Linked DNA regions of Drosophila melanogaster. The gene in region 3 interacts genetically with the main gene of each other region. Each region holds a gene or a part of one and is shown on either strand. Other genes may lie near its edges.

Region 1 (7,872 bases), on a different chromosome or scaffold from region 3:
AAAGGCAATTTTCTCGTGGTCTAAACAATATTAGTTTTACTTAAGATAACAAAAGATCATTGTCTGGGAAAACGTATTGATTCAGTAGCATTTTTCCATTCTTAAATTTCGCTGGTATCTTTTCTTGTTTGATGTTTTCGATTTGTTTGCAACTTAAAATTAGTTAAACCATATATATATTTAAATCAACTATATTGAACATTGAATTCGTTGATCCAAGGCGAACCGCAAATGAGAAAAATAAAACATAAGCTAGGGCTTCTTCAAAATCATTTTAAGAAATGTATTGCAATAAGTGTTTTCATATCCCTACGTAAGTTACTTGTTCCTTATGTAATTAAAGTTGGTAGGATTAATTCAATGTGTTTTTATATTTAAAGCAGTTTTGCAATGACACATAATTAGCACTTGAAATAGACTTGAACAAGAACTGTTTTGCCAATGGGCATAGATCATTAATATTATAGCATGTAGATCATTGTAAATAGTTATACCATTTTGTAATTGGTTTCTTAGCTCGCTGTCCATTTTCATTACTCTGTTTTAGCGTTAGGAATGACATTCGCATAGAAAATCATACGATAAACTATAAAATATGGGCAAAGGGCGGGTATTGGAGTAGCTGCCGTACATCATCTATATAAATCTGCGACTGAGTGGCATGGACCTCCATCCTCAGGCCTACAGACCTATGCTCTCTCCATTGTCCTGTGTTCTCTACGTCTTTTCACACTTAGCTTTCACTCACACGCACTCATCATTTAGCTACCGGTTTTGTGTTCCTTCTCTTCCGTCTCCATTGAGGACTCGAGCCTCATCTTAAGCTTAGGATACCGAACTAATTGCATTATGCGGAGAGCCCATTTGGGTGAGCACCTTGTCCAGCCACTGGAGCGGCCCGTGCAGATGGATTTCAATCCAACAGGGCGTCGAGGTCACATCCTGGCGATGATACTCCGCACCCCAGCCCTTCACGAACGACATCCGGATCGTGCACATCTTTGTCAGCTCGTAGACGGCCTCGAATCCATTGTTCACCGACTGCGACAGCAGCTGAGCAAATTCCTGATTGTTGAAGATCTTCAGCGAGCAGCCCGGCGGTATTTTGCACACGGTGCTCGGATGGAATCCGTGGTGGTAGTTGCAGTTGCGCGACTGCACGAAAATGGCGGAGTCGGATAGGCATTCGGCGTAGACCTCGCCGGTCACATAGTATAAATGAACACCCTTGCCTGGGGAAGAAGAAACATTTTGAGTTAAAAAGACAGGTAGTTGGATTCTTGAAGTCCATAGCTTTCTACTCTACTCAATGCCTATTTTTATAACTGATAAACACAAGTCGCTTTCTAATTTAAGATTACCAATGTGTAATCTTAGTTATTAACCACTTTAAGATAGTTGCTGATGGGAAATCTCTGTGAGTAAGTTAATTTAAGTGCTAAAATCGACTCACCTATATGACGGCGTGTGTTCTCGATGGTGCTATTCCTGTTCACGTTGCTCAGCTGGCCGAGACAGCAGCGGTCCGAGTTGTTGGAAGGATTCGTGAAACCGTCAACGATCACGGAGTTGTTGTTGCAGTGGAACACCTCGCCCACGCGGCAATTTAGCTCGTAGTAGGCTATCGACGCCCAGAAGGCGGGCTCCGAATAGCTAACCTGGGCAACATCGCCCATCTGAGCATCCAGCAGCTGGCCACCGTCGTTCGGATTGTTGGAGTTGCCATCCTCCGAGGGACTGTAGGCGGGTGGCGGTGTTCCCGCCAAGCTGTCGTACGGCGAATTGGGATTGGAGTTGACGGAACTCGGACTGCCCACCGATGTGTTGCTGGTGCTCAAGCTGTGCGAGTTGAATCCACTGTTCGAGTAGCTCACATTGTGCGGCATACTGGGCTCGGCCACATGGTTGAACTGCAGCATCGAGTGACCGGGCGCGAATTCCGAGTGGCGAGGAACGAGTACTGGCGGGAGCACCGGACTCTCCACGCGCTTATAGTGATACGGATTGATGCACACCTCCTTCTGCTTGGCGCTGAACGGATACTGGCACAGCTCGAGTGGCTTCAGTTCGTGGTGCGACTGCAGATCTGGCCAGCGCCACACGCGGCAGTAGATCACATGCGGCAGACCCTTGCGATGGGAGACCTGATATTCGGAAATAGGAGTTAATAATCATCTGTTACTTAGCTGGCCATGTGGCTTGTGACCCACCTGTAATCGTCCGTCCAGCGAGCGTGGAATGGTGACACACTTCGAGGGCTGACCGGGACAGGAGAGCGCACGCTCCAGCTCCTCGATGGCGCCCTTGCGCTTCTTCAACTTCTTCACCAGACTGTCGACGGCCTTCTCCGCCCACTTCTCCTCTTCGTCACCCTGTTTCCAGCCCAGCAGCTTCTTCACCGCCGGCGATGTGAAGGAGAATAGCGAGCCCAGTGTGGACATCGCGCTGCTTGTGTTCGATTCCACATCGTCGGTGTCCATTCTGTTGCTGCTGCCGCTGATTGCTGTCGTCAAATTGAGGTTGTTGCTGCTGCCACTGCTGCAGATGTGGTTATTGTTATTGTTGATGTGGTGGATGTTGTTGTTGTTGCTGCTGCCGCTGCTGATGGTGGTGGTGGTGGTGGTGCCGCCGTTGATTTGGGGTGGAGTCACCCGATAACCGGTATAACTATCAGCGGGCGGATAGTCTGTGAAAAGAGCAAGTAAAAAGCAAATATAAATAATAAATACAAATAGAATTGCAGGCATTCATCATCGAGCTTAGATTGTCTCAGCAACGCCCACAACACAACGCATGCAAAATTCGAATGCACTGAGAGAAATGTTATAGAAAACTTTGCATCTAATTCAAGCAAATGTTTATACGTAACAAAAGGGGAAGTCAGCAACTTATGTGACCCTTTTTCTTCGAGTGTCTTTACCCGCTTGGCCAAGTGCCCAGCAGAAATTGGAGGAGGAGTGAGTATCCATGGGGCCTGGCAGTGCATCGTGTTTCTGGCTAGTGAATGAAGTCGTTGGGAGGTTCCTGTCATGAACGGACTCCTCCCACTTTCAATGTTGGCGGCCAATTGCATGCAAATTGCCTGCAACATTTTCTCATTGAGAATAATGGCCATTATTGCTTCACTTAACCAACTAGCTGATTAATCGAATCTCGATTTCGTTGGAAACTTATTTTTATCTATTAAATATGGTTATTGTTCGTATTCAATCGCAGCTGACGTCAATTGTGAAACGATTCTATTGTAAGGGGGGTATTTTTGAGGTCTGACAGTTCTTTGAATTCCAAAAAACCACAAAGGTTGCGAACGAAAAGAGTTCGCACTTTTCAACGTTATAAATAGTATTAGTTTTCGAACACAACAATTCTGCAAAAATATATGAATAATAGGTAAATTTATGAAGCACAGATAATAGTTTCATGTGCTGGTTTTCGGGCTGCCTTATCGATTCTTAGAAAATTGGCATTAAGAAATTGGTTTATCAACAGAAAAAACTAAACTATAGCAATAAAAACCCACTGTCTTCATTCTATTTAGTTAGGCTCCACTGTACTGCAGTAATATTCGAGTCGAGTGGCGAGAACTGCATCTCATAATGAGCGCAAATGATAACCAAATGGTGTTCGACTTGTCAGCGCCACAATTGTGGGTATTCCCCCCTGTTTTCTACGCCCCCCCCCCTCCATACTTTTCCCCACCAAAGACAACAATTCCATTTGAATTATGACATTTCAATGTTAACAGCATTTCTGAGGAACTTCTCTCCGTTGGCCAAGTGGCTGCGCTCCAGTTGGCTGTCTTAGCCTCAATCTCGTTGCTTTACTCAAGGTGTCAAAAAATGTTTGATTAAATTTAAAAGTGACAAAACCTAATTGAATGAAAATTTGTAGTAGCAATTAATTTGTGCAAGCTGGAGCAAAAATCGGCGAGCCACACAAGGCGAACTTGCTAGGCGAACCACCCATTTTTGTGGCAAGCAAACGGGCTGGTAAATCCAATTTCAAAAGCAATTAAATGCCGGCGATAAATCAACAAGTGCAGCACTTGGACAACAAGAAAACACCTCTCGATTGGGCTCCCGACAGACCAAATGGCGCATATTTCTGGCCAAATTAGCCGTTGCGTGAATTAATTTCGATTTTCTCGCTCAACTCGGGCCTAAAAATTTTGGGGCGTTGCCGTTTTCTTTTTTTTTTCGCAGCATTGACAATTTTATGTTGTCGCCCATGGAAGGGGGCGTGGTCAACGAGGACCAGTGGTTGGGGGCAGTCACTTTTCTAATTGCCCAAAGTCAACCAGAGCCTCCGGCGGTAGATATATTGCTCTAAGAATGCTCTAACTTTATCACTAGCCTACAAGAATATATTGAAATTAATGATAAGTCACACAACCATTTTGATTACCAAAACTAGCTTAAAAACCTCTTCCAAAAGATTAGGATTACGAACAAACAATCGGTACCTTATCGAAAATGGTACACCTTTGCTTATAACTAATCCCAAAATTAAACATACAGTGGAGTACCAGTTCACATGGTCTCTCCTTCTCAGTAACTCAGGATACAAACGGAGTGACACTTGGCGGACAGACTTATCGAGGGGGTTAGTGGAGATAGAGAACTCTACCCTACGTATTTACCCAGCTGACTAGTGTCGTGTGTTTTTAGGTGGCAATGGTGCTCTAGTGGAATTCGATTGATTTGAGTGGGGCAGGCATACAAATTTCGATAATGCCCCCGTTTTGTTTGTGCAAAGCTCGATTGCAGGTGAGGTTTTCGACATAATCAGTCGGTTTTCAAAAGGGGAAACTACCCCATTAATTCGCAGGAATTACATAAAAACTTTATTTACACGATCATAACAACATATTCAACATATTTATGATGTTTATTCGGAGATTTGATGGTTTTCCAAACAACAAAGTGGCTTTCTTTAGGCACTTAAACGATTTTCTTGTTTTGTCTCTCAATGCATCTCGAGTTGAACGATACTAAATATAAATATAATAAGTCCTTTATGATCCATTATCATATGGGACATTCCCCATATCAATTAAAGATCAATAATCGTAATTCGCAATTACATATTACCCGAGCTGAGATCACGTACCCAACGTACCCGCCCAAAGTGGCCCAGTCTTCTTTCTGCTTTCAAGAAAACCACACTCGAAGGAAAGTTCTTCATTGCTTTCAAAGCAAATTCAATTGATGGTTCTTGGTTTAAAGTGAATCTACTTTTAGTCTTATATTTAGAGTAACTAAATTGAAGAATTGCATTTCAAATCGGCTGTGTACATTCTTCTGGTTAGTGATTCCATTGTGAGTTTCTTTTCAGTGCATCGCTAGTCAGGGATCATAACTCAACTGGAGAAACGGAGGAGCGAGGATATCGAGGCACTTTTATGGCAGGCACGCATTCGCGCATGCGTATCATACCATTCCAATCGATAATCAATCATAAATGCGGCAGTGACAATAAGGCGTAAATCATGGGAGCCAGGTAGAAGTAGAAATCAAGGTGGATGGATGGCAAGTACACAAGTACAGAAGTACAGAAGCACTTCCGCTGCCATTGAAAGCGGGCAAAAAGCGTGGTAAAGGGTACTACGACTAGTGCCACAAAAATAACAACAAAACAACAAGAAAAAAACGAACAGACAGAGAAAATAGGGACTTGGACCCATGTTTAAAAATAAACAAACAATGCACACACAAAAACGCAGCGCGATAAAGACCAAAACCAAACAGGCCAAAGTTTCGATTTGATGCGAGGAGGAAAACTCAAAAATCGAGCAACTCGAGGCAAACGAGAACTATGTACGAACTAAGAACCTACACATGATGATGTTGAGATTGCAGATATTATTTTATTTATTTTTATTGCACGCACAAACACACACACACACACGGACAAGAATTCAGCATCAAAATGTTATTTTATTCGTATGCAAATCGCAAACGCGACCCTCCACGACGATCGGGCATCCAATCCAGTCGCCTCAGCAGTTACATTTCCGCTGCGAGTCTTCAATTCAATCGTTATCACCGTAATAACTTCATTTATTTAAGCCTTTTGCCGTATTATTTTTTATTTTCGCCGTAAATTACGCAAAGTGGAAATGGCAGCGAGCGCGAATCAGAAGTCAACTGCACGACACGACCGATCGACAACGAATGCCGAACGGGTTGCCCAGCAAACTGAGTGCGCCGAGTGTTGATTGACTGACTGACTGACTGACTGACTGACGAACTGACTGACTGAGTGAGTGACGAACTGAACGCAGCCCAAACTGCATTCGTATTGTGTATCGGTGTGAGTTCGCCAGGGATGCGAAGCAGCAGGTCCATCCTAAAGTATCTAAAGGTAACACAAACTACTTTCTACAGTTATTAATAAGTTTAAGACTGGAAAATTGAGTTATTATATTCCATTTTCTTAATATTTATCTATTTAGTAATGTACTTATTGTAGCCCTAAGAGAGTATAAATCTAGTGTATGTATCCCTATTGAATCCCTTCTTTATCACCAGCTAGTCCGCAGCCCTGATTTCTGAAGACCTCTGAGTGACGTATTCGTATTCGTATTCCTGTGCTCGTAATTGGTTTCAGTGTGCGTTTGGGGCAGCCAAGTGCACACCACTACACCCATACAGGCAACGAAAGTTTTGTTTTAAACAAATCAAATGCCCTATCTGCAGTTGGGGGCGCCAGCACGTGAGCGCGAACGTGTTTGTGTGCAGCAGATCACACGGCGAGAAAAATATGCAACATTTGTATTTCAAATAACAATGTTACTTGAAGAACTAAGATTTAACATTTGAGTACTCTTTTACTTAACTCTTTTTCGAATTAAATAGACATTGCTGTTTTTAGATGCACACTAATTTGTTTGCAGTGCATGGCCTTTGGTGGTGTTGGAGGTGGCGTCAACCCACAGCCACAATCAAACTGTAAACACCCCACCGCAACCACAACAAAAATGAAGGGAACGTAGTTTCAGGGGAGGAGTTTAAGAGAAGGCAGCGTCAACGAATTTTTTCGTGCGTGGGACCGGCGAGTAATTGAACCTAAAATTCGATGAAGCCCTCCTTCGGCAGAGTGTTTTCGGTACGAAAATAAGCGGAAACAAATCGAAATTCTATTCGCAAATGCACTGCCAATTTTTTTTAATGGGTAAAGCAACGAAACTAAAGTTTTTTCGTTACGAAATCTTTTGAATTGAAGTCAAGCGAACCTATTTTCTTGGCCCGGACTGTACGTGTGCTTAGAATGCGAGCATGTTTATGTGCGATCGCTCCTCCCTCCCTTCGCTTTTATTGCGTGTTTAACACTACTAAACGCGAACTTATTGCAAACATGGGTAGCATTATACAGTCGCAGTAAAATCGAAATAGTAATGAAGCGCACTCTCCTCGAAAGCAGAAGTGAAAACGACGAAAAATAACAAAATAATTATGTAGTCCCTTTGGAACAATAAAAATTTATGCACGCAAATTGCACAAAAGCGGAAAACTCAAAACACACACGTGCCGAAGTGCAAACGTCAAGGGGCAAAAATGCGCAGGCACGGCAGAAAATCCTTTTTTAAGTAAATTAACTCAATTCTAATTGCAAATAATTGCCGCGATAATTGCAGGGGGCCACGCAGAGGCTTTGTGTCATGTGAGTAATTGAGCTGTCAACACGGGGACACCACCGCTTTTCCGCAAAAATGAAAAAAATTGCCAGTCGGTGGTGGGTGGTCTACACTACTTTCAAATAAATAGCTTTCAGTTCCATCTTGATTTGAAATAATTTCAATGTTTATGAACATTGATGCACATTTATGAGTAGTATGCAAGTTGAGTAGTAACGAAGCGCGCCAAACATAGT
Region 2 (4,227 bases), 6.3 Mb from region 3:
AACAGTTTGCACAGCTTTCATTTTTGTTCCCCCTGGTAATTAGTTTAAGTAACTATTTAGCAGTATTTAACACTCCTATTTTGCAGCTCTTTGTAAGGCGCGTATGTACATACACTTCTTACCATTCTAAGCTGATTTAAATAATTTTATTAAGCTTTTAAGTAATCATTTCTTCTTTACCAATGCGTTTATTTCAGGTCACGTTCGCCACGTCGCTCCCGATCGCCCCGCAGCCGCAGCTTCTCGCGCGATCGTCGAAGTCGCTCGGATTCTCGGGATCGTCATTAATGTTTCCAAAAGGATATCGTTTAAGCAGTGTCGCATCAAAGAACAAGCCGGCCAAGGCCGTATTTTCTGTAGGAATTCCTATGTCGATTGCGATCCAAGTAAATTTACTTCAGATGACAATATAAATCTTTCGATGCATTCTTGAAATTCCTTTTTTTTTTTTACTAAAAAATAAAGACGCACAATCAGCGAGTTTTGATTGGTTTCATATATCATCAAAAACAGTTTGTTTCCAGCAAAAGGGGACGTGCTTAGTGCACTGTTTATTATGTGAGAATTGACGTGCTGCTGTACAACTTGCTTAGAAGTATGTTCGAATAATAATTTAAACAGGCGCACGAGTGTAAAATATTATGTATACTAACAAAGGTACACTTTAAACTTAGGAGAAGACGCAACACGAATTCGTTGCACATTTCGCACTGGAATAAACCTTACGTCTAGTCATTGTATGTATCCTCGCTGCAGGGCTCTGAGCCCCATCCCAAATGGCAGATCGGATTGGTTATGGCTGCCCCTAGCGCATGCGGTATGTGTTCGACTCCTGAATTTGAGACAATTCGCCCTTGAAATTAATGTCGATGACGAAGTCCAGGTCACGGTTGTTCCGCTCGTTGGGCTTCATCTGGAACGTGCCAGTGATCTCCTCGTTCTTCTTTGCCGTCATGTGGTCATCGAGGTAGAACACGGTTTGCTTCCAATGCGTGTATGTGGAGTCTGGTGACGTACTGAACCCAAGACGCTTGTGGCACTTGGTGAACTCTATATTAAAGTAGGTGACTAATGCCTGCACGAAGTCGTTGCGCTTGATGCATAGGCTGAACTTGGACGAGAAGTTAAGATCGGCCTTTTGCACGGTATACAGATCCACCTCCTTGACCATGCAAGATGTGGATACCACTTGCTTGGGATCGACCACGTCGACCAGTGGCTCGGTCACGGCCACCTTACGAATGCAGCTCATGTCGAAGCCGTAGACATCGTCCCACCAGTTGATCTTCTCGTCCTTGTACTGTCTGTCCTCGATGGCCGTGATATACAGCGTGCCCCTATCTGGGAACATCATGCCGTCCTTCTTCAGCCACTTGTCCCGAGCGTACAACACTGTATCCAGCATGGATTCGTAGAACAGGCAGTAACTAAATTAAGGAAAGAAATTAAAATGGTTAATATGCTAAATCAAATATGACCACTTTTTAAAAGCTTAACTACAAATGAAAACCTACCCCATCCACTCGGAAATAATAATGTCCACTCCCTCAATACCATTTGGAAGCTCAATCTCCTCAATCTTGCCCTTGACAACCGTGATTACATCCTGCAGATTGTTGTCAATGACCACTTGGCGGGCAAACTCAATGATGTTGGAGCAGTCGACGGCAATCACCTGAGCAGCACCGGCTTTGGCAGCGAACATGGAGAGAATGCCGGTACCGCAACCCACGTCCAGTACGGTCTGCAAAGAGGAGATACCCCGGTGAGAAGGGCTACGAAAAATGGGGAAACCCCGGAAGTTAACCCTACCTTGCCCTGAAACAGATGCTTGTTGTGGTACATGGCGTTGCGGTATGTGACGGTGCGCACTTCGTCCTTGAGCATCTCCTCGTGGATCCCGAAATGGGCATAGGAGTCAAAGTAATAGTCGCGGGACGTCATCTCGTCGGCGTTGGCATTGGGATTATCACCGGTGGAGCCCTCCGCGGGCAGCTTCTTCGCCACATTGTTTGAGTTCGCATTTGAATTGGGCGTGATGCCGGTCGCCGATTCCACAGCTGCCTCCATGGGAATGTCTGTGCTGGCCTGCGAATCGGGTTCGTCAGCTACTGGCCTGTCGATTGCCGTCACATTTTGACCAAAACTTACCATTTTCTAATTTCTTCGGCGTCTCTTTGGTTTTTCACGTCGAAAAATTGGCGACTAAATGATGGGACTGTTTCTACAGCACGCTAGTTTAAAAGGTCGCTTATCAACACTGCCCCCGCACAAAAGCTGGAAACAAATATCGCCAGCTCGATATTATTGGATTTTTCTGAAATTTTAGTATTTTTGAGCTGGGAAGAATTGGAGTCAGTTGTCTAAGGCATGTTCCATATAATCGAGTAAAATAATCTTTGTCATAACATCAATAAGATATAATAAATACGTTCATGGTTTATTAACTGCTGCAATGCTTGTTGTATTGGTCCTATTTCACTGCTAACAAAAATACATAAACTGGGAAACACGTTTCATCGATAGTTGTAAATAAGATCCGATAGTTTTACTGGTAAGTGCTCATCTCTAGCTACCGCTTGCCCGGTAATTTTGGCGGCAAAATATTCGCACATCGCATTTACTAAAAAACGAAATATAAAGCGAAGCAGAAGTAGCGTCTATTACCTCAGTTCTTCTTTTTAACTTTGTTTACCCTATCAAAATGGAAGGCTTCGACGATGCGGGTGTGTTCTTTTCGGACAATTTCGGCGGAGATAACCAGCAGGATGCGCAAATCAACTTGCAGGCGGTAAAGAAGAAGTACAAGGAGTTCATCCGGACATTTAACGAGGAGAACTTTTTCTACAAATACCGGTAAGTGAACTGCATCTCCTCATCTGAACCCCATTTAAGGTAATCCCCCTGCAGTGACACCCTGAAGAGGAACTATCTTAATGGTCGCTACTTCTTGGAGATTGAGATGGAGGATTTGGTGGGCTTCGATGAGACCTTGGCTGACAAGCTGAACAAGCAGCCGACGGAGCATTTGGAAATCTTCGAGGAGGCTGCCCGGGAGGTAGCCGACGAGATCACAGCTCCCCGGCCGGAGCACGAGGAACATATGCACGACATCCAGATTCTTCTGAGCTCCAATGCGAATCCCACCAACATACGACAGTTGAAGTCGGACTGCGTATCCAAGCTGGTTAAGATCGCCGGAATCATTGTCGCAGCCTCAGGAATAAGTGCCAAGGCTACGCGGATGTCTATCCAATGCCTGTCCTGCAGCACGGTCATACCGAATCTCAAAGTGAATCCAGGTTTGGAGGGCTACGCCCTACCCAGGAAGTGCAACACGGAGCAGGCGGGCAGACCCAAGTGCCCGCTGGACCCCTTCTTCATCATGCCGGACAAGTGCAAGTGCGTCGATTTCCAGACCCTTAAGTTGCAAGAGCTCCCCGACTTTGTGCCACAGGGTGAGATTCCCCGCCACTTGCAGCTCTTCTGCGATCGCTCGCTCTGTGAACGCGTGGTGCCCGGCAATCGCGTGCTTATCCAGGGCATATACTCCATTCGCAAGGTGGGCAAACCCTCGCGTCGGGATGGTCGCGAGAAAGCCGTCGTTGGAGTCCGTGCTCCTTACATGAGGGTGGTGGGCATCACCGTCGACTCAGAGGGTGCGGGTGCCATCTCCCGATACAGCAACATCACATCCGATGAGGAGGAGCACTTCCGGCGAATGGCCGCCTCTGGGGACATCTACGAACGTCTCTCACAGTCACTGGCGCCCAGCATCTTCGGCTCTCGGGATATCAAGAAAGCTATAACTTGTATGCTTTTTGGCGGGTCTCGTAAGCGTTTACCGGATGGTCTGTGCCGTCGAGGCGACATTAACGTCTTACTGCTGGGAGATCCTGGTACTGCCAAGTCACAGTTGTTAAAGTTTGTGGAGAAGGTGGCACCCATAGCAGTCTACACTTCGGGCAAAGGCTCCAGTGCGGCTGGTCTCACGGCTTCGGTTATGAAGGATCCTCAAACGGTGAGAAAAAACATTGCACACCTAATCCTTACAAATTAAATGATACATTAATCTTTAGCGTAACTTTGTCATGGAGGGTGGAGCCATGGTGCTGGCCGATGGAGGCGTGGTTTGTATTGATGAGTTCGACAAAATGCGAGAGGATGATCGTGTGGCCATTCACGAGGCCATGGAACAGCAGACAATATCCATTGCCAAAGCCGGCA
Region 3 (5,197 bases):
CTGTATTATTTAGATGTAACCAAAACATACATAGCTAAACCGATCGGCTTGTTAATTCAATGTTTATATTGCTACTTTTTGTTTTCTTTGAATAGAATAATATATGTATGTAGATGAATCTGATTTGAAAGATACCAAAATCATAATGCTTTATTTTTTATTAAACCCTCTGAGCACATATGCAGGTGCATACTTACATACATATGTATGTATCAAATCAATAATGAGCGTAGTGTTGTTTGAATGTGCCACATTTCCTATAAAAAGGCTACATTCCCCGTTTTCGATTTCCAGACTACGCCCCTGGTGGCAGGCAAGGAATCTAGTGGTGGATCGCTTGAGTGAGTAATACCCCCTCCCCGCCCTCTTTCACCAACGGACAGCCGACGCCAGTGCATATGCAAAGATCTGTGCGGCAGCATCAGCTGTCAGCGAGAAAGAGACGGACGATGGTGGGGGGGAACGATTGGTAAGGGGGAACGATTGGTAAGGGGGAACGAACGGGAGAGCGCCGCAAATTAACAGCCCAAATACGCTTGTGTTTGTGTATGTGTGTGGCCCATGCGACTATTTCCATTTTGTTGCTGGCATTTCTTGCGCTCCTTATCGACGACAAAAGTGGCGCCGCCGGCATGACGGCAACAACATAAAAAACAGCACAGCAGCGACGAACAGCAACAAAATTACGAGTCAGCCCCACAAGCACGCTCACCAACACCAACACACCGCATCAAACACACTCGCGCTCTCTCGCTCACTCATACATACAGAATGCTTGCGTGCAGAGTAAAAAAAAGGCAGGGCGGCGGGCGTGCGAGCGAGAGGGAAATGCCTGGCGCCACTGACGTAATAAAAGAAATAATAGTAACGATGTCGGCGGCAGAGGCGTCGTCGGAATGGCGCCACACCAACACACGCTCACCTTAGACAGACACACGGACAGGGACGAGCGACGCGACGGTCGGTTTGTCAGCCGGTTTGACAAGTTGAAGAATCAACAATTTAAGGTTGAGGTGAGTATGAAATAATCTACCGCAGCCGTGGTTCAAAAGAGTACGTACCACCAGAGAGTGCGAGTGTGGTGGGAATTAGAATTGAAGGCGCTCTCGAAACTCTTCTGAAAAGTCATCAAGTCGAGAACTTAGCGTTCTTAAAGTCTAGCTTTGAATTAGAACTTATCAGAATGCATCTGAGTTTTTCAATCGGAAACAAAAAAAGGTATGTTTTAAACAGTAGCATTATCTTATGAGACCAATCTTAGGACTTTACTTATTTTGTCAAGAACAGAAACATAATTAATAATAGGAATCAATTTATAAGATCCTTCATTCCCTCCACATAAACCGTATAACTGCACGATTAATATTTGTCAATAATAAAAAATGCAATGCGAAAGCGACAGAAATAAATTATTTACATATGGACATACATCTAAAATTATTTATGATGTGCGATGTATGCACCACAGTTTTTAGCTTCAAAATTGCAAAGTAATTGATACCACCGTACTTTTGCTTTCAAATATTTACCAATCTTGAGTCAGCCGGAACAAAAACCCTTCCACATTTAAAACTATGAAAGATGTGTAATCCAGTGAACAATAGAGAGAGCTGTTTACGTTCATAAAATTCAGTATTTAGAGCAAGTCCAATACAAAAAAAAAAAATTGCACATCAACACTTCAAAAGCCATATATCGCACATTTAACAATCAATTGAAAACAGTCTATACTCAAGAATTTTTATTCAAACCCGCTGAGTGATTATTTTTTCCAAATTCACGTTTACAAATTTATATGTATATTTATATATACATACGTAGTTATGGACTTTCTGATAATGAAAGCATGAGTAATTGTAAGTCCAATTGGAAACTATAGCGATTTGGTAACAGATATTCGCGACTCGGTATTATATAAAATATAAAATTATCTTCGAAACCGCATCAGAAAATATTGAATATGAAAACTTAAATAACGCTAATGAGTGATAAGCATTTGTTTGTTGACTTAGCTATTTTGCATAATCACGAGTGCACCTCTTCAAATCGGCTTGATTTTGAGTTCTAAGGAGTGGAAATAGGTACTTACTGTTTAAAATTTTTTGTTAGGTGGTTTCCGTTTAATCCTTTCCTTATGTAGTATTACTTTTTGATATGTGTAGGTGTATTTGATATGTTTAGAGGTTCACTTGATAATTTGTATTTACATTTACTGCAGAAGAAACAAACTATTAGCAACGAATTTGAATTTGTTTAACACGTGCCGACGGGTTTTTGTTATTGGATTGGTAACCGCAGTCGATTTTTTCTTTTTTTGCTGCTGGTCAGTCACTTTTTCCTATGCATGTGTACGTTTGTGTGGATTTAATAAGGTGCGAGTAATGTGTTGATTTCGGTTGAATATTATGTTGAAGTAGCCGAATGCCGGAAAACAATAACAATTTTTAACGTGGTGGAAAAGGTGTTTTTTGTTGGCTTGCGATTTGCGCTCTGCTTTGATTCTGCCGGCGTCGCTACCACCGCTATATACGTATACGTTTGTTTGTTTGTATGGGCCAGTGCAGGTACAATGTGTGTACGTGGCTGGCGAACAATTGCATTTCTTTTCTTGCTGTTATTTGCTCAGTTAAAGCTTGAACACACTTATTATTTGGCCCGCATTTTCCCCCCGATGCTCATTGATTTTTAATTCGCACACGAACACAACCACAAAACACACGCACGCAAACGAGATCGAAGATCCGTTATCCGGGCGGAGAATTCTCGCTCTTTCTTTGCACACACAAACACAAACAAATGCATAGAATTCATAACAGCAAGCAGCAAAAATAAAAGATTTTCGCCTGACGATTTCCAATCCCCTTCGATTCTCACTTCAATTGATTTGCCTGCTGCACTCACACTTTTTCTATGTATTTCCTCCTTCACATTTCAGTTCTAGAGCGCACAACAACTTCACTGCACTTGTTTGTTGTTTACGACGCCCGCGTTTACAACAACAAAAACAAAACCCGTAAATGTTGCGAAAAAAGAGTCGGGGAAAGGCGAAAAAGTCCGATATTTAGGAACTGCGTTTTTTTGTCATTTAATTAACCCAAAAATCATTTAGCAGTCTCGAACACAAATAACGTTATTTCGGAAAATTTCTCGTGGCAATACGTCAAGTATCCATCTTTTCGTTGATATCTTTCGGATTTGGATTTCTCGAACGGCAAAAGAACACACAAGCGACGCGGTTGAAAATTGTTGGGGCAATGAGCGAAGCGCTAACTGTGCGGATTGATAGTCTTTGGAGCTGTGGGGAATAAACGTGGGAGAAACGCCTGAGAGAGCGCCTGGGAGAGGGAGGTTTAGAGAGAGAGAGAAAAATTAAGAGACCAAGAAATTGTAAAATTAGAATCATACATAAAGTTCCCGTTCTAACAATGTATAAGAACTTCAGTTTTATTATTAATTAGAAAAGACTTGTTAAAATATCTTCATATTTTTCACATTCCCATTCCTACTACAAGTGCTAAACCAAAGAATCCAAGACATCTGAGAGTGGAGAGCATCCGTTGGATGGCTACTATGGCGTGGTGAGTTTCGTTTCGCTTCCGCGGACAGATACAACCTGCGCACGCACACCCACACTCGCTTCATGCTGGCAGTGCCGTTGGAAATAGTGTTGGCTAACGCGGTAATTTCAAAAATTGATAAGTTTTCCTAGACAAATTATGTGGGAAATACTAAGCTGTCCTATAATATAGGAGAAATCTATAACTATATGTTTATAATTGAAAAGCCGTGTTCAGTATGAGCATTTTATAATTTAAGTTAAAAAAAGATTAATGTACCTTAAAATTTTATTTAAGATGTCTTAAAAGGTAAATGCTTAAAAGGCATACAAGGTTTAATTAATTCGAATCAAATTAAAAACTCTCAGTACATATTAGCCCCTGTTAAATACGTCTGTTGAAGTTGCCAAAAAACTCAACTCCCTCGATGCTGTCGAGAGCGGAGAACCTGAGGAAGCAACATCGACATTTAGCGCGGTCTTGGTTGCCGCAAAATGTGATGAATGGTTGTGATCAAGGGCATATCAGTTGCATTGCCTTGCCCATGTCTGCCAAACACACGGACGCACACACGCCCATACAAAGTGGCGCCCCTGCAGCGGCCCTACACACACAGAAACACACTTAAAGCGCGCAGCGAGGATCGCATACCGCACTGCGAGAAAAGTCGATGGAATTATCTATGCTAAAATTTTTTACAGTCGTTATTACTATAACTAATTCTCTAAATAATAATAAATATAAGTTTACCTTTAGTTCATCTATGACATACAGTACAGTGCAATACAGTGGCAACGTCGAATTTAGTTATTGTAGTTTATTGTAATTTAAAACCGGTATTACTTAAACGTGTAAGGAACACAAGATCACGTCCAGATTTTTCACAGTGCCAAGCAGACGCTCCAACAGGAACCCTGGTTCGTCAGTTCCAGTAGAAATACATAATTGTCTCTCGTTTGGACGACTCGAAAACACAAAAGCAAATAGGCTCCCGTCATTACGATAATAATAGGTCGGGAACAGGGAACACAGGCCACTTGTGGAGTGAAACCGGCAACCGGCGATGTTGGCAGGAGGAATTTGATCGCGTCGTGAGCGTTAAATAAGCGAGAGTCGGGCCCCTGACTTGCCCCGTGGAGGGGCATGGGTATTAACTCCGGAAAGGACGGCGGCAGGAGTTTGAATACATTATTTTCTTATGAGGCCAGAGACATTCCGCAAATGCTAAACAAATAATACGACAGCGAGGAGTAGCGTCCCACAAAGCATCTTATTTAAAGGGCCTCAATTATTCAGCAGTGCCTTTGTTATGGTTAACCCTTTTCTTAGAATATAAAAATATTGCAACTCTACTAAGCCAATTGCTCTTAAGCATAATATTGGGAAAAAGGTATTTCGAATGTATATATTAAAACTAAATGCTTACTTTATATTTTCGCCATTTTAAAACTACATCGGAGATATTACATTGTGGTTAGTTTTACACGTGTCTATCGCAACAGTCAACCTTATTAAAAGTTACGTCATTTAACTATAAACAAATGCACAACGTGGATAAGCACAAATATGTGTATGGCTTTTGTGTGTGGGAAGAGGTATGGTATATGGTTTGGGTGATATAGTAGATGGTCACCTATGAA
Region 4 (5,025 bases), 2.4 Mb from region 3:
TGTGTTTAGATATAATCCCATTGAACTTCTTCATCAATTTTATAATTTAGACTTCGAAAAAAAAATAAAAGAGATATTTTAGCAATTTAAAGAGCACTAAGTTAGTTTATTGGCATCAATAACTTGTTCCGCCACTCCTACTTCTTCCCGGCCTGAGCCTTCTTTTTGTTCGGCTTGGGCACCAGTTTCAGGCGGATCATTTCCTCGAGGAGCGTGGAGCCCAGGTGGCAGGGATTGGCGGTCATACGGACTCCCGCTTTCTCCAGGGCGGCCACCTTGTCCTTGGCCGCTCCCTTGCCACCGGAAATGATGGCGCCGGCGTGACCCATTCGACGACCCGGTGGAGCAGTCTGTCCAGCAATGAAGCCAACTACTGGCTTGGCCTCGCAGCCAGTGTTCTTCTCCTTAAGGAAATCGGCAGCCTCTTCCTCGGCGGATCCGCCAATCTCTCCAATCATGACAATGCCCTTGATCTCCTTGTCGGACAGAAACACTTTGAGGGCGTCTATGAAGCTAGTTCCGTTAAAGGGATCCCCGCCGAGGCCAACGCAAAGAGCCTGACCCAATCCCACGTTGGTGGTCTGATGGACGGACTCGTAGGTCAGGGTTCCCGACCGCGAGACTATGCCCACCACTCCTCGCTTGTGGATATCTCCCGGCATTATTCCGATTTTGCACTGATCCGGCGAGATGATTCCCGGACAGTTGGGTCCCAGCAGGCGGGACTTCTCCTGGCAATTCAGCATTTGCGATATCCGCACCATATCCGCCTGGGGAATACCCTCGGTGATGGCCACAATCAAGCCAATTTCACTCTCGATAGCCGCGCAAATACCCTCGGCGGCGGATGGAGGTGGTATAAAGATCACCGTGGCATCTGGCTTCGCCTTCTCCACAGCTTCTGCCACCGATTTGAATACGGGCTTGCCCAGATGCTCCGTACCTCCCTTTTTGGGATTCACACCGCCAACTATATTGGTTCCGTACTTTATGGACTCCTCCGAGTGGAAAGTGGCCTGCTTGCCGGTGAATCCCTGGACTAGAACCTTTGTTGCCTTGTTGATCTTCAGGTTGCACACCGTCTTGCCATAGTCCGCCTTGCCACGCCTCAAAATTTGGGGCGTTAACGCCCGCAGGAGCATCTTGCTTCCTCGATTTAGTGACATTTTGTGGGAATTAAGTCTTGGATTGCTGGTGGATTTGTTTTTGGGCCAAAAAATTAAACTTTTGGGGCCTGATTTAGAATGGAGTTCTTACCAAAACTGTTGACCGAATGTCAGGTTTCAACAGTCAAATTATCAGGGAGGTTTGGAAAAAGGCCTGCTGTGTTCTTAACAAATCCTTTTCTGGTAATTTACGTACATGCATGTTTAAGTGCATTTTCTTTTATACAACATTGAGGTCCTATAACTCCTAAACCTTGCTTTGTAACTTCATGTTATTAAATTTAAAGAGTTATTATCTGTTATAATATAAATTTGATAGTAACTTGTTAAAGTAAAAATGAAAACAAATTATCTACCCCACTGTGCCTGCGCTCAGCCCTTCAATTAATTCCGATTCGATTTTAATTGAAATCCAATAGAAACTCCTCTTTTATCTCGCTCTCACTCTCTGAGCGCGCGAAACAGCTGAACTGAAACGCCCGCTTTGGCCAGTTGGGCTGCAACCCGTTCCAATAAGATCATCGTTCAAAGAGAGCGAACAAGAATAGCTACGTTACGATCGCGTTTCAGATCGCTTTCTGACTTCGAAGCGTAAAGACTTAAAACGCGTCGGATAAACACCATGATGTTACTGGTTTTTTTCTGCGCGCCGTCGTTGTGAGCCGAGAAGAAAAAGTAACAAAAGAAGCAGCGCAGGAAAATCAAAATTGGCTGCAAGTGCGTGTCCCGAAAGTTTAATAACCAAGAAAAGTTTGTAAATTGAAAAAGGCACTTAAAGTGGTTACCTAAAATGAAAAGATAATGGGAAAGAGCAAAAAAAAAAGCTGACGCAAGTTCAAGGTGTAGAATTTGTGCGCGTGTGTGAGTGTGCCACAAGTTGTTTGAGCAAAAGTGGAGAAATAATATAAATTCCGAAGGAATTTCAACAGCAAGTGCTTGAAATCGCAATTGGTGTGCCAAACTTAAGGTTTTGCCTTGTCTTTAATCGAGTTTTTAGAGGTTTTAACTCTTTTTTTCCAACAAACACACACATTCACGCATTCTTGATTCTTTGACTCACAAATTACCCACGATAGCAACAACAAAAGTGTTGTCTGTTCCAATAGCCACACGTTCCATTTCTGGTTTTCGCTTTTAATGCCGCACTGTTTCGGACGTTTCCAGCGTTCCTCGTTAACCGGTGTTTGCTTTTTGATGAGCGTGAGAGCGGGGAAAGATAAAAAGAGAGAGAGAGAGACTAAGAAATTGATAAAGAAAATGGAAAAAAGTAAATAAAACAATCAAATTGGTAAACAACGCTGCTTGTTAAAATTAAAAATGGCAGGCAAACACAAAAACTCATTAAAAGCAGAGGAAAACCTAACGGTAGTTTCCTGACTCCCGCTCACTTCCTCTCTCTCGCTCATTCTCTTTGCCGTTGCGCATGCGCAAAACATATTTGTTTCTTGGTGGGAAAGTCAACACAAAGTCTAATAAGAAAACAAACATCACAGGTGTCACCTTTAATATTCGACATTCTGCAATTGTGATTTTAGGTCTTTGTAGAATTCTTGGCACACCTTCGATTTCTGGAAATTAACGCGAAATATTACGAAACGAAGCGGTAAACAAAACCAAATGGTGCGAAAGTGGTAAAAAAAAACGAAATGCGGCGATATCAGTTGTCTTACCACGAAGCATACATATCAATCAAACCGAAATAAATAACCCGAATTGTGTCCATGTGATTCAACGATTTTGTAATTCAATTCGATACGATACGACCTTGAAAAGCATAGGTTTTTATGTTGGTGATTTTAAATTTTATCGAAACGAAATCAATTCGCTACTGGGATTAAGCGAATCAAGGATTATACGACTATGGAACCCGGAATTTTAATTGGTAAGATTGTAGATCTTTATATGGGTTTTTAAAGAGAAAATCATTACTGACTTCAAGGCAGATGTTAAAATACAAGATGAGATAAGTCATATTTCTTGTTTGGAAAATCATTAAAAATTCGATCCAATAACAGATAAATCAATTTATATATACAATTTAATGTATGTAGTGTTCTTTCTCTTAAGTTTATTGGTAAATATTCTTAAAAATATTTTGCTTAGTTTGCTTTGTAGCATAAAATTAAGTCAAAAAGTCGTTCAAAAAGTATTCTGTATGCATTTATTCCCACACATGTTCGGAGCTAATTACAGAAAAAATCCACAGATCATCCAACTGCACTCCCTTCTCAAAACTTAACCCCATTGGGGGAAGAGCAATTATTTCGAGGGCTCAGAACTCGTGCCCCCATTTCACATATCTGAAATAATTTCCATGCTTTCTTCGCTCGCAGAAGCGACTTTAAAAACGGAGACAAACAGACGACCACATGTTGCTTGTAGTCACAGAAACATATGCAATCACTGGGAGAAATTTTTCTAATCTACAGAATATTAAAAAGTGTTAAAGAAAAGAAAATAATTATAATTAGAAAGTAAGTAAAGAAGATGAAAAATACATTTGCAATTGAGAAATTAAGCTAGTCAGACAATTTTTCGAAGCCACATTGTATCTCAAGAACAAAGCGATTTAAATTTCAAATCCTAATATAAATCGAACTGAGCTAATTTTTTCGCCCAGTGTCCTGGAACAACAAAGTGATGGCACACACCCCATTCAGAACCACAGATACAGATACATCGCTTTAACTCATTTGGTTAAGCATTTAATGATCGGGCAAATGCAGAGTCGGCCGAGTTCTGAGGGGACAGCTGGAAAATGCGAGTGAGGAGCAGAGGGTGTGGCCTGGTCTGTAGACGGCGGTTGCTAACGCTCCCAAGCCGAATGCTCTGCGTAACCCGCGCTCAGCTAATGAGCACCCAACCGCTGTGGAGGGGGGTTGGGTGGAAAATCGGGGGAGCGGGCTGCGAACGGGTGTAATTGAGACTCGGTTTAGACACCGAACCGCACCAATTTGTGCGAGAAATCTAATATGTGCGGGTTTCCATAAAACCCGGCGGCGAAAATGCCGAGGGTATATTGTATTTCTTATAAATATTAATAATATGAGTTTTAAAATTTGTAGACTTACAAAAACTTCAACGCAAATAAACGATCATTCGATTTTTATAAATAATATATAACTATTTCGACAATCTGTAGTTGATAAACCCCAAGCAAGGGTTTCGAATAAAATTGCTAAGTATTCTATTTCGTTTTTAGATTAAATGTAAAGTATTCAACAGTTTTCGAATTCCAAATTCGGGCTTGGATGGCATTAGGCGTATCCATGAGTGTCGCTGGTTTGTCTGCGGCTTAAAACCGGCAAAGCCACCAGTTCGGATCGAAATCCGCTCGACCAGCTGGGCTTGGAATGCGACAAAATGCGCATTTGCATTTGGCCACATGTGTCGGTTTTATTTGATATGTTTTTGTATTTGAGCTTAGTGGGATCTGGAGCACACATTACCAATACCAGTGCAGCCGGTCTTTTCAAGTAACACGGACACGGAGTCAAAAATGCGCACGCCCGTAAAAAATTACTCCAACTACAGCTCGCAATTTGTTATTCCCGCTATTTTGCTCTTTTTTTTTTTGGCTAATGGGTTTCCATTTGTTTATTGCTTGATTGGATTTTGTAGCTGAGTTGCGGGGAAAAAAGGCGTTTATCTGGTAGGTGCCATCTGTGGGGGAGTTTTGGGGTTTCAAAGTGGACCGAACAAGTTGTTTTGCAATTTTCAAGGCTAATTTAACAAACTATTACCTTTTATTACCTATTACCTTTACCACTTAACAAGCTACATAATAATCTCAATAATATATGATAAAATATCTAGAAACTATAAATAAGTAGAACATATGAAACCAAATTTTGACAGT

The links.
Region 1: of Dad (region 3) and Mad, changing one suppresses a phenotype caused by changing the other (phenotypic suppression), as found in Drosophila melanogaster (one study listed by BioGRID).
Region 2: of Dad (region 3) and Art1, changing one suppresses a phenotype caused by changing the other (phenotypic suppression), as found in Drosophila melanogaster (one study listed by BioGRID).
Region 4: of Dad (region 3) and Dys, changing one suppresses a phenotype caused by changing the other (phenotypic suppression), as found in Drosophila melanogaster (one study listed by BioGRID).

What each region holds. Positions count from the first base shown.
Region 1 is NT_033779.5:3,146,594-3,154,465, forward strand, and holds the start of Mad (mothers against dpp), read right to left. Parts: upstream 6,161-7,872; 5' UTR 5,840-6,160; coding exon 5,836-5,839; intron 2,687-5,835; coding exon 2,211-2,686; intron 2,145-2,210; coding exon 1,454-2,144; intron 1,233-1,453; coding exon 826-1,232; 3' UTR 1-825.
Region 2 is NT_033777.3:10,785,961-10,790,187, forward strand, and holds Art1 (arginine methyltransferase 1), read right to left. Parts: upstream 2,267-4,227; 5' UTR 2,155-2,266; coding exon 2,152-2,154; intron 2,089-2,151; coding exon 1,813-2,088; intron 1,745-1,812; coding exon 1,515-1,744; intron 1,428-1,514; coding exon 806-1,427; 3' UTR 521-805; downstream 1-520. Other genes in the region: Mcm5 (minichromosome maintenance 5), read left to right, coding at 2,705-2,856, 2,911-4,021, 4,080-4,227.
Region 3 is NT_033777.3:17,052,067-17,057,263, reverse strand, and holds the start of Dad (daughters against dpp), read right to left. Parts: upstream 3,258-5,197; 5' UTR 2,902-3,257; intron 2,368-2,901; exon of another isoform or gene 2,229-2,367; 5' UTR 2,090-2,228; intron 1-2,089.
Region 4 is NT_033777.3:19,461,799-19,466,823, forward strand, and holds the start of Dys (dystrophin), read left to right. Parts: upstream 1-1,734; 5' UTR 1,735-1,841; exon of another isoform or gene 1,842-1,883; intron 1,884-2,701; 5' UTR 2,702-3,026; coding exon 3,027-3,048; intron 3,049-5,025. Other genes in the region: Scsalpha2 (Succinyl-coenzyme A synthetase alpha subunit 2), read right to left, coding at 138-1,166.